Linked DNA regions of Drosophila melanogaster. The gene in region 3 interacts genetically with the main gene of each other region. Each region holds a gene or a part of one and is shown on either strand. Other genes may lie near its edges. The genes, in order: dgo, Vap33 and fwd.

What was found.
Region 1: of fwd (region 3) and dgo, changing one enhances a phenotype caused by changing the other (phenotypic enhancement), as found in Drosophila melanogaster (one study listed by BioGRID).
Region 2: of fwd (region 3) and Vap33, changing one suppresses a phenotype caused by changing the other (phenotypic suppression), as found in Drosophila melanogaster (one study listed by BioGRID).

What each region holds. Positions count from the first base shown.
Region 1 is NT_033778.4:10,818,198-10,821,952, reverse strand, and holds the start of dgo (diego), read left to right. Parts: upstream 1-2,068; 5' UTR 2,069-2,661; intron 2,662-2,849; 5' UTR 2,850-2,852; coding exon 2,853-2,912; intron 2,913-2,978; coding exon 2,979-3,404; intron 3,405-3,459; coding exon 3,460-3,755. Other genes in the region: RpS15Ab (ribosomal protein S15Ab), read right to left, coding at 1-140; Lsm10, read left to right, coding at 343-768; Prosbeta5 (proteasome beta5 subunit), read right to left, coding at 970-1,671, 1,734-1,880.
Region 2 is NC_004354.4:3,946,820-3,950,574, forward strand, and holds the start of Vap33 (VAMP-associated protein 33kDa), read left to right. Parts: upstream 1-2,155; 5' UTR 2,156-2,553; intron 2,554-2,661; 5' UTR 2,662-2,830; coding exon 2,831-2,894; intron 2,895-3,755. Other genes in the region: Gem4c (gemin 4c), read left to right, coding at 1-770, 830-1,284.
Region 3 is NT_037436.4:317,767-321,521, reverse strand, and holds the start of fwd (four wheel drive), read left to right. Parts: upstream 1-1,637; 5' UTR 1,638-2,531; intron 2,532-3,732; exon of another isoform or gene 3,733-3,755.

The DNA.
Region 1 (3,755 bases), on a different chromosome or scaffold from region 3:
ATATAGCCATGCTTCATCATCACGGTCAGGAACTTGATGATCACCTTGGAGCAGGGACGCAGCAGCACCTGCCGCTTGCCACGCTTCTCGGCGTTGTTTATGCACTTCAGGGCATCGGCCAATACGTTCATACGCACCATAGCTGGATTTGTTTGCCAAAACTGTTTTACACGACCGTCACGCAAACGTGAAAAAGGGAAAAAACCTTTACTTGAAAACTTCCGTAAGTACTTCTCTTAGATGTAGTTCAAAACTAATTAATGAAAATGTCAAATTACTTATGAAGCGAGTTGGCAGCTCCGTGTCCAAGAGCAAACACTTATTTTTAAACATATCGATATAATGCAGCAGTTTAGTGCGCGGGAGAAGTATTTGGTGTCCAACACCTTAAATTGTTGGCCCGTGATGCTGCAGGGTCATTCCGTACTGATCGATCTGCACAACGAGACCTCTGTGGCCGGAATCATCGATGTAGCGGATGGACACATGACCTGCGAGCTCACCCATGCAGTTTTCATCGATCGCAATGGTGGTCAGCACCCCTTTGATCACTTTATGGTGCGGAATCGAATGATACGGCAGATCCACATACCTTCGTACTTGGATGCCGAGCAGGAACTTCGAAGCGCAATGGAACGGGGAGTCCTGCGAAGAAAGCGAGTGGAAACCAAGGGCGGAAAGCGGACATTCAAGCAAAAACGAGCGGAAGTGCGACACAAGGAAACATTGCAAATGATCTCACAGCAAAAAAAGAATAAGGAAACCTAAACTATTAATATATGCGTACTTGTTATATTTACCAAAAATACATTACATACATACAACTACATTTATAGTAATAAACCTATGAAAAGCAAAACAAATTAGCCCAATCAATTATACACAAAACATAGTCTCTAGCACGTTTATTTATTCCAAGAAATTCAAACGTATACAAACTGAATATCTTATATTCCCTTAATCAAAACTCTACTTAGCGGCCTGCTGCTTCAACTGCTCCTGGTACATGTAGTGCAGCTCCATGCAGTCGGTGTTGGAGATGTTTACCCAGCCGTCCTCCTTAATGTGATACACGCGAATGATACCACCGGAGTAGGCATCCCTGAAGGTGGCATGGTAGATGGCGCGACGTCCCAGCTCCTGGGCCTCCTTGTCCTCCAGGTCCCAATGATAGCCAGAGTCCAGGACACCGTAGGCGTACAGCGATCCACTACCAACAGAGAACAAATTGCCAGGCGTGCGAGATCCCTCGGAGTCCACATAGTAGAGGCCTGGACCACGCTTATCGTAACCGGCCAGCATCATGCCCATGCTCAGACCCATTCCCTTGTATTCGTGGGCAATGTTGGCCATTATCTTGCTGGCGGCGGCCACCGAGATGCGTTCCTTGTTTCGAAGCTCGTGAAGGCGGCATTCCTTCGAAAGGACCCTGTCCCAGTAAACGCAATCGGCTGCGCCACCGGCCAAGGTGCCCAGCATGAACTGATTGATCTCCACGATCTTCTTCATCGACTGGGAGCCAATGTACGATCCACCCGTGGCACGGGAATCGACTGCCAGGAGAACGCCGCCCTTGAACTTGAAGCCCAACGTTGTGGTGCCGTGATCGAAGTTGATTTTGACGCCGGTCTTGTCGCCATTGGCCTGGATCTGATTAAGGTTGTGCAGGGGCTGAGGAAATTGTCAAATTTTTTAGTAAATTTCCCAAGAAGATCAGCTAATTAACTACATACGTTCTCGAATGGCGGAGCAGCCAGTGTGTAGGGATTGGCCAGATTGCACATAAGCCCTTTTTGCTCTTCCTCCACATCCGCCGATGACCAGGCATTGGGCCGCATGTACGGAGCATTCGATATCTTGCAGATTTCAGCTAAAGCCATTCTTAAAGCTCCTTAAAAAACAATTGGAAACGTTGAATGCGAAATGCCGATGACAAACAAAATTCGTTGCCTACTTGTAGAGTGACCGTACTTCTGTTGGAGCAATAATGCAGACTATCGGCTTCACCGTTAGCTGTCGCAGGTACGGCAACCCAGCTCGAAACCTGTTGCCAATTTTGCCTGTGATTGGCTTTCTTTTAGTCTCTTTTTAGGCCTGGCTTGAAGCCAAATTAACTCTGGGCGTTCCATCAATCCATCAATGGCCAAATACTGCAAAGTCGGGTACTGAACAATAGTCGAAAGTAAACATGTGTAAATACGTGAGAGTGGCGAATTGCAATGCGTAAATTGCGGTCCAAAGACGGGATTTAAAATTAGTGAAAAGTAAGTCGGGAATCGAGAAAACCTAGGCGCACTTTAAACCTGGTTTTCAGGTCTAGAAATTTACTGTAATAGTGTTGAACATTTAAGAAACCATACATGTTTTATCAATGTGTTATAATGAAAGACATTTAATCTACCCTCAAAAAGGTTGTATTTCAAATTACGAGTCCTTTATTTGATCGCTTTTGGTAACTCCCACTTCTATTTGTAATGACAATTACTACGTGGTACGCCATTACGTGAGGCACACATACATGCGCATACACGGCTAGAAAATGTGCGATCGAAGATCAGATTCATTTGATCCCAGGTCAAGTTAAGCTCTTTCGTCGTCAACAAGGTTATATCAAAGAATACCATCTTTCATATGATTTTCGACATATAAACGATTCTAACGGTAATTACGGTACTTTAAGTAAGATTTTTCATTTATTAAAGACAAAATGTAGTTCTAATATAAATAATTTTTTTAATTTTATCTGGTTTTGATAAAGTGTTACTTAAAAAGTTATAATTGCAACACATCATGATAAATGAATGAAATTATAATTTAACAAATTTGATAAATAATGAATATTTTCGCAGACAATGCAGCATGGATCCTCCCGCATTCCGAAACAGGAAGCTCTCCCGAATGCGATATCCGGGGTAAGTAAGGGCACTTGCCTGAACCAACAAATCTTACACCGATGTAACTTCTTTTTCTGATTTAAGCCCGACTCCAGCAATTGGACTTCGCTGCACGAGGCGGTAGCCGCCGGAGATGATCGCCGGGTGGAGGGTCTCCTGTTCAGCAATGCTGATCGACTGGCCAGGGAATCCGTGCAGGGGAATACCCCGCTCCATGAGGCCGCCAGTCGGGGGTTCAGTCGCTGCGTGAAATTGATCTGCACGCCCCCCACGCCACCCGCTTCCTCGGGGGTGGGAAAAGCAGCAAAGGGACAGAAGGACAAAGACAAGGATAAGAACAAGGGCAGAGTGAAGGTGGCCCACCAGACCATCGAAGCCCTACACAATAGCGCCCTGGGTATTGCCAACAACGAAGGGTTGTCCGCCCTGCACTTGGCCGCTCAAAATGGTCACAATCAGAGCTCTAGGGAGCTACTGCTGGCCGGCGCCGATCCCGATGTCCGGAATAATGTAAGTGTTGGATCATATCAGTGATAACCATGTTTAACATGTTTAACAATTTCAGTATGGAGATACTCCGCTGCACACCGCCTGCAGATATGGACATGCAGGAGTCTCCCGGATCCTGCTCTCCGCCCTTTGCGATCCGAATAAAACAAATCTGAACGGCGACACCGCTTTGCACATCACCTGTGCCATGGGTCGCAGGAAGCTGACAAGGATTCTCCTAGAGGCAGATGCTCGGCTGGGCATTAAAAACGCACAAGGCGACTGCCCCATGCACATAGCGATCAGGAAGAACTACCGTGAAATCATCGAGATCCTGAACACGCCGAAGAAGATACGGAATCGCAAGGAGAA
Region 2 (3,755 bases), on a different chromosome or scaffold from region 3:
TAATCAATTGGATTATAATAAGCGCTTCCCGATAACCAAATTTCTAGTACTGTGCTTTGAGAACGCAAGACAGACCTGGATTGATTTCTCCCACTTGGGCGTGACGCATACTCGCTTCTCGAAGCTATTCTGGCACATAGCTCAGTCTTGTCCCAAGCATGCTGCTTTTCATATTTCCGCCTGTGCCGATAACATCTTGGTGAACGAGCAACTACTTCAAAAGCCGTATGCCTTGCAGTTTACACTCTACCTATATGGCCACCGACAGATCCTCAACGGTCTCTACACGTCAGCGCGACAACTGTGCGTTAGTTTGAAAGACGGACGGTGTCCCTACGGAGAGGATGAGCTTAGGCAGGCGCAAAATAGGTTCCTAGACGCGTGTGCCTACGGTTTGGCCAAGTTTATAGAGCCCATGAACTTGCCCAGCTTGCAGTTAATCTTGAAACTGCTCAAGCAGATTAGTCTGGGTGAAAGCAATCTAATCACCCGAGGCACTGCAGAGTTAAATGCACTCGAAAAGGAGCACCCGAAATTGGAGAACGGAGACGATGCACCAGCTGTCAAGGTGGCCAAGCACTACACATATCTGAATGCCAGCTTGCCAGAGTGGCGTTTGAAACACTGGAAGCTGATCTCGCATGTCATGAAAACCATTGATGCCCTACGCTGGGACTTGGCCACCTTTGAAGATTTCCGGGTGGATAATTTAGAACTGGCGGTGTGGTATTGGCAGGACGGTCTGTCTCATCTGACATTCCTAGGCACTGGTGCGCTCTTATAAATGTAAGTCCAAGACGAAAGCCTACTAATTATTGCTCTTTCACAGAATGCCGCCAGAGGATCTTGAACCAAGTGAACAGTTTAAAGCACAAGGGCTTTTGGCTCATCTACCTTAAAGAAGACACCTTAAAGGACACACGCTCCTTTCTCAAATTGCTAACTCAGTCCAGTGCACAGGAGGCTAACGATCTCTTCAAAAAGCTCCTTAAAAAAAGGGCCGATTGTGCTGTTATGGGCGATCTTAGCGATGCAGTGGTCAAGGTGAACAGCGAGTCCGCTTTCATGGCCTTTAGATTCCTATTTCGAGAATATTTGATCGCCTTCCGGAGCCACGCCAAACACAATAAGACCATCACGAAGCGCCAGCATTGGGATCATTTGATGGCCGTTGTGGCCAAGGCTCCATTCTCCATTCGCAACGAGATTATGAAGCTAGCTAGTAAAGCCTTCGCTGTGCGATTCGGCATAAATATCCAGGAACAGCAGGCGGCCAAGTGTTAAGGAGATGCTGTTAGAAGTGTAATTTTCTTAAGCCAAATCGAAACTCCGCCGCTTGTCCAACACTTTAATTCTTAGGCAGTCAGATCTCTATATGACTAAAAACATATATAATATTCATAACGCTAGGATTGAACATCAGAATAATTTGATATCAGATTATTTTACAACTTTGTATGTCCTTTAAAAGGACGACTGTATGCACATAACAAATGTACCACTACCATGCAAATTTTTTGTCTTACTAAAAATACTTTGGCAAGCAAGTGAAGTTATTCAGCTGAAAATTAATAAAATTTTGCATGTTCTTTTTTTTCGTATTATTATGTATTATATATATAATATACAAAACGCTATGATTGAACATCAGAATAATTTGATATCAGGTTATTTTACAACTTTGTGTGTCCTTAAGGCCGACTATATTTACATAAAATATGTAATACTACCATCAAATACAAATTTGTGTTCTATTAAATAAATGCTTTGGCAAGCTTAAAATTATTGTAATTTTGCATGTTCTTATTTTTATTCGTATTTTTATGTATTACTTCGACTGCTTTGCTTCCTGTTGCAAAATTGTAACTTAAAACTAGGAAAATTTATTTTAATACATTTTTAAATTTCATGTACTCGTTATGTTATAAATTTAACTAATTTATATTCTGTCAAAAGCTGAATGGCATTATTCAGGGAAAGGAAAATTTTGGTGCAAATTGTTATTAATAACATTTTCAAATTACCTAAATAAAAAAAAATAGAAAAAATATCTTGTCTTAAAAAACACTATATATATTTTACAAGGTAATTTAACGACCAATGCTTGACAAGTATCGAAAAGTCGCTAAACTAAAAATATCGATACCCGATGCATCGATATTTTTTTCACATCACTAGCTGACAGAATATATGGCTTTTTTACATTTTGCGTTTTCAACTGAAGTTTGCGAAGAAACCGAAGCGTGGTAAACCACTGAAATCGAAAATATCGACAGAAAAGCGACCTAAAGTCGGTGAAGAAGTCGCACGTTGATCGTTGTGTTTTTTTCCCGAAATTTTCTGCAAAAAGCCCGTGCGTGCGTGAGTTTCTCTGGCTCTTGCTTTTTTTTTGTCCATGCGTGTGTGTGTGGTCGCATAAATTTACCGATATTTCGCCTGTGAGAGCGAAACGAACGAAAAACGAAAGAAAAAAAGAGAGACGAGTAAAGTAAAACGAAACAGGCATAAAAACAGCAGCAGTTTTCTTGATATATTTGGCTAAAAAACGCAAACGTAAGCGAAAAATTTGAAATCCCTCTTTTAATTTAGTTGTGTGCCTGTGTCTCGTATCTATGCGTGCGTCTGCATTTTAATATAATTTTGTGTGCATTTTCTTAACAGCAAACAGCCAGCAAGAACAACAAATAGCTGGGCAAAAACAGGACGCACAAAAAATAAAATTAAAACGATAAGAGGCGAAAAGCGGAGAGAGTGAAATTCTCGGCAGCAACAACGACAAGAACAACACCAGGAGCAGCAGCAACAACAACAACAAAAGCCAGCCGCCACAATGAGCAAATCACTCTTTGATCTTCCGTTGACCATTGAACCAGAACATGAGTTGCGTTTTGTGGGTAAGTTTATTTTACATTATTTTCGCGTTTTTGCGGAAAGGTCGCTGCATATCGACCAAAAAAGCCGATTCACCTCCCATTTCTTGCAAAGAGCAAACTGCAAGTTTCACTTTTTCTCTCTCTCACGCGCACATTTAATCTCCCTCCCTCTACGCTTTCTATTGCCATCTCGCTCGATTGGCTATCAATAATTTCCGTTGTTTTTGTTCTTCCTTTACATACGACACCTTTTATTGTTGTTCTTTTCGGGGTCTACGTGTATCATCGCTCTGCTTCTTTCCGTTTTTTTTCTTTTTTTTTTTTTTGCTTCAGCTCTTTAATGTATTTTATTTTTTGATGCCGGCAGCTGGCGTCGCTCTCTTTCTCACTTGCACTCGCCATCCCTCTCCCTCTTGCTCACTCGTTTCGCGTTTTTGGCTAGCATTATATTTTTATACGCAAAAACTTGTCATGGGCCATTTTAATTTTTTCTTGTCTTTTGGCTCCTTGAATTTTGGCCAAAAAGCAACAGCAGCAGTGACAAAAACAATGCAAAGAGCTCGCACAGTGGGTGCGACAAGTGGCACGGTTGTCATCGCATTGTTATTGAACTCCTGTTGCCAAGCTGCATTTTCCAGTGCATAAACATTTAATTTTTTTCGCGAAATTTTATCACAGTCTCAATTGCAGAACGAAATGTCTACTTAAATGACCAATCATTGTTGATTGCGATCTAGAATAATACACCAATAACCATTCACCATTTGTATTTTGTCTTATTGAAAAAAATTGAGTTAACTTTTCAAGTATTTTGCTATCGCTTCCATTGTGCGCAAATATTTTAATATCTGTGTATGTGTGAGTGAGCCTTAGCCCCATTCT
Region 3 (3,755 bases):
TCAATTACAATATCGCACTGCTGCCGCTTCCCGCAGATAGTCACGTAATTGACTGGTTCCTTGCTACTTTTAATATAAATAAATGAACATAATCGAAATTGCGTAGGACAGTATTGCCGCGACTGATTGTATCATTTTTTTTTTTTATCAATCCACAGAAGCATTGGGACCGACGTTCAGCGCATGGGTAATGTTCTGACAAATCGCCTTCCTCCAATGAAACACTCCCCATATTTGTTTACTGGATGTAGAGTGTTTTTAAAATAATACACAATAAACGATGAACTACACTTTTTAGACTTGGGTGTGGCGACAGCCACCAAAAATGCAGCAGGAATGACATGAAATCAACCGAACCAACGAATCCTCCCATTTCGTTGGGTTCGTGTGTTCCAAAAATACTTTCAGGGCGCATATGGTTTTATTTCGATTCCCCCTGGACCAGTTCGCACTCTCTTAGTCGCTGTCGATTAACCCAGTGGTAGAAGCCACATGCCAGATGCCACATGAGCATGGGGCAGGATCACCCATACGCTTAACAACTTCTGCTCACTAATTCTGCAGTTGAGGGGTGCTCAGAATAGGCCCAAATTTTATTTCCGAACATGTGTCTCCAGATTTTTCTCAGTACTTGTAAAGGGTCATTTCCAAGAGGTGCTTATGGAATATGTTTCTCTAAAATCCGCATGGAAACCCCGGAAAGGATTCGACGAATGCCGTTTTCTCGGATCATCATAGTTTAGTGTCACAGAATTTGTACATTAATAGAAATATCCGATGTCCACAGAGACAAAACCATATGGGTGTAACAAAAATAGTTGTCTTGCAGTGCACTTATTGATTGAGATAAATAGATAAATCCCAACAGAAATGGTGGACGCAAGTGAAATGAGATGGAAAACCAAACGCGAGCTGTTCGTCCACATAGCAGCCAAGCATTTTGAGCGGACGATCATATCCAAGAGCCAATTCAAGTCAATCAAAAAAATGTGGCTTGCGCCAGGGGAAAGGGACCGATCGCAGTGGCCTGCAGCACAATTTACATTGCAACGACCAATTTAGAGATTGTTGAACTCACGCAGAACCAGGCTGCGGCTGTCCGGTCGGAAAATTTAATCTACGCCTTGAGATCTCAACATGTGGGCATGTGTGCTATTAAATTACTATGTCTGAAGGCAGCTTATCATGCATTTTCTAATTTGGGACGCTCAGACAATTGCGCAATTTAGCGAGGAATGCTTCTAAGCGTCACTTAAAAACAAATTATTTTATTCATGCCCTCACCAAATGCAACGAAACCAGAGCAGAATTGGGTGATAGGTTTCACACCGGCAATATGGAATGCAAGCGCTACAAATGAGATATTTTCGGCAAGAAGACTCACTCGTCACCGATTATACTAGGATGCAGATACGTTCGAAAACCTCTTTGTTTCGGTTAGTCATTCAAAAGTCTCGAATCGGTTAGTATACCCGCTTACGCTACGAGTAACGGGAATACCGATTCACTCAACGAGTAAATGGTATATTTATTGAGCCGAAAAGGTCGTTGCACAGTGTGACCGCACAGCCCAGCAGAAAAACGCGCTAGCGATTACTCGAGTCTCCGTCGAGTTCCCACAAACTCGCCGAGCAACGCGTCATTCGAAGAAAAAAGTCGATTGCTTTGGACGTGTAGACGTCCGGTCGTCGCGTAATTTGTTTTTGTAGTAGAATACAAAGGAAGCAGAAGCGGATTACAGATAATTTTGAAGTGCTGCAGCTGTGCATAATAAGGTGGTAAACACAGTCCAAAGGAGTACGCGCCGCTTCATTCGTGCACCCTTGTGTATCGACGATGTATACACACTATGGGCGCGTCTCTTTTTGTTCCTTCGCGCGTGTGTGTGTGTGTGTCTGACATCGCCCTGCCTGCGTGTGTGTCTGTGTCTCGCCCCTCGGTCGCAGCGAGCAGAGCAGCCCTCTCCTCTTGTCCCATAAAGTCAATGTACAACTTGTTTATATTTAAGATTTGAGATCGACCCGATACTGGCAAGGAAGCACGCAGAATGCTGGTGGAATATTGAAACAAGTGTCGTCGAATTGTGATTTCTCGTCGAGTGAATTTTCGCACGCACACAACGCCAGCATTGCTCGCAAACACACGCACACAAGCGAAACGAGATTTTGCAAGTCGCGTACGTGCTGGTAGTGGTGCCCGTTGTAGTTGTAACCGTGCCTGTGTTGGTGTGGTGTTAGTGCTTGTGCAACTTAAAAATTCAATTGTTTATTGCTGGGCAAAACTGGTACCGTGTACCGCGTACCTGGAAAACAACATTTAAAGCGAACGCCAGGCGAATCGAGAGTTCCGAGCAAGTGGGCAACAATAAGGTGTCGCTGCGGCGCCTGCTCATTTCCACGGTGATAATAATCGGCATAGGGTTCCGACGCGAAAGCCACAAGTGAAAGTGGAATGCTCTGCCTATTCGCGTTAGTTGGCATAGTCTTCAATACCCAGCGAATTACATCTCTCCGACTGGATATGAAGATATTGTGAGTATTTCCCTCTGGAATCAATGAAATGAAATGGTGTGCCTAGTCTGTGATGATAAGGCAGCTATCACCACCACGTTCATATCCGGATGCGAGCCCGCCCTTGTTGATTGTTTTTAGTTTCTGGTGCTCCCGGGCACAGTATCGGCGAAGTGCGGGTAAAAGAATGCTCGGGCAGGGGGAACACGGAAACCTGACCTTTCATTTAAATGTCTTGGTTTATCTTTAGCTTCCTGCTGCGGAATGCATTTAGCCTTTCGAACAGGAGTGTTTTGATCTCTGCTTCTTTTTGGTCGGTTTATTGACTTTCTGTAAAGACTTTTGCCTAGTTCGGCAATGAAGTGCACTCAAGTGCACCTATCGATTTCGAGACTAAGCTGCCTTTAACATGGGGCTACGGAGGTCTCGAACGGGGTTGAGTCGTTGAACCCCTCGCAGAACAGTGTTTACCACGCATGGTAGTTCGTGGCCACGCAGAGTGCGATTACCAAAGTGTGAACAGGAAGGCATACGGAAATGAAGAGCGAAGCTCAAAGGGGAGCCCGATCTCCTGCCCCGTACTGCCCTCCATAAGCCAGGCTTAGCAAGGCTTGACTTCGATATGGGGCTTTGCGAATCGCACACCTAAGTTACTTCTCGCCCAGGTGGAAAGACGCTGGAGAGTCTTTCTCCGGGAATAGCTTCAATGCGGACCGGACCGACTTTTGAAACGAGCGGGAGATAGTAATTAAACTGTAATTACTCTTTTGAGTGCCGATAACTTTGACATAAGAGTTGCAACTGCCGCCTGTTGAGTCGCTAGACGCTTGCCAAATAGTTAAGTAACTGGTGAGCGGGGGGTGCGAGTGGAAACATCCGAAACGGGAATTTTTAAAGCAAAAGGCAACGAGTTTGGATTGGTTTCCGATCACTAATCATGCCAAAAGCGCGAAGTCAGGTTCGTCAGCGCAGGCCAAACTGAAAACTAGTTGTGGTTGAAGTCGCTATTTTTGTTTCTCAACTTGCTTTCGTGGCCGCTTTGTTTGCGTAGCGAACGGAAGCTAAAAATTATAAATTATTTATTGGCACACAAAGACGACTGGTCGAATTGTATCGCCGATGGCACATTTTCCGTCATCCAGATTCCGATCGTGGCCTGCGATGTAAGATAAACCCGAGCAGTTGCATACATTTTCTCAAATCATCCATACTTTTTTATTTTGGTAAAAAAAAATATATATTTAT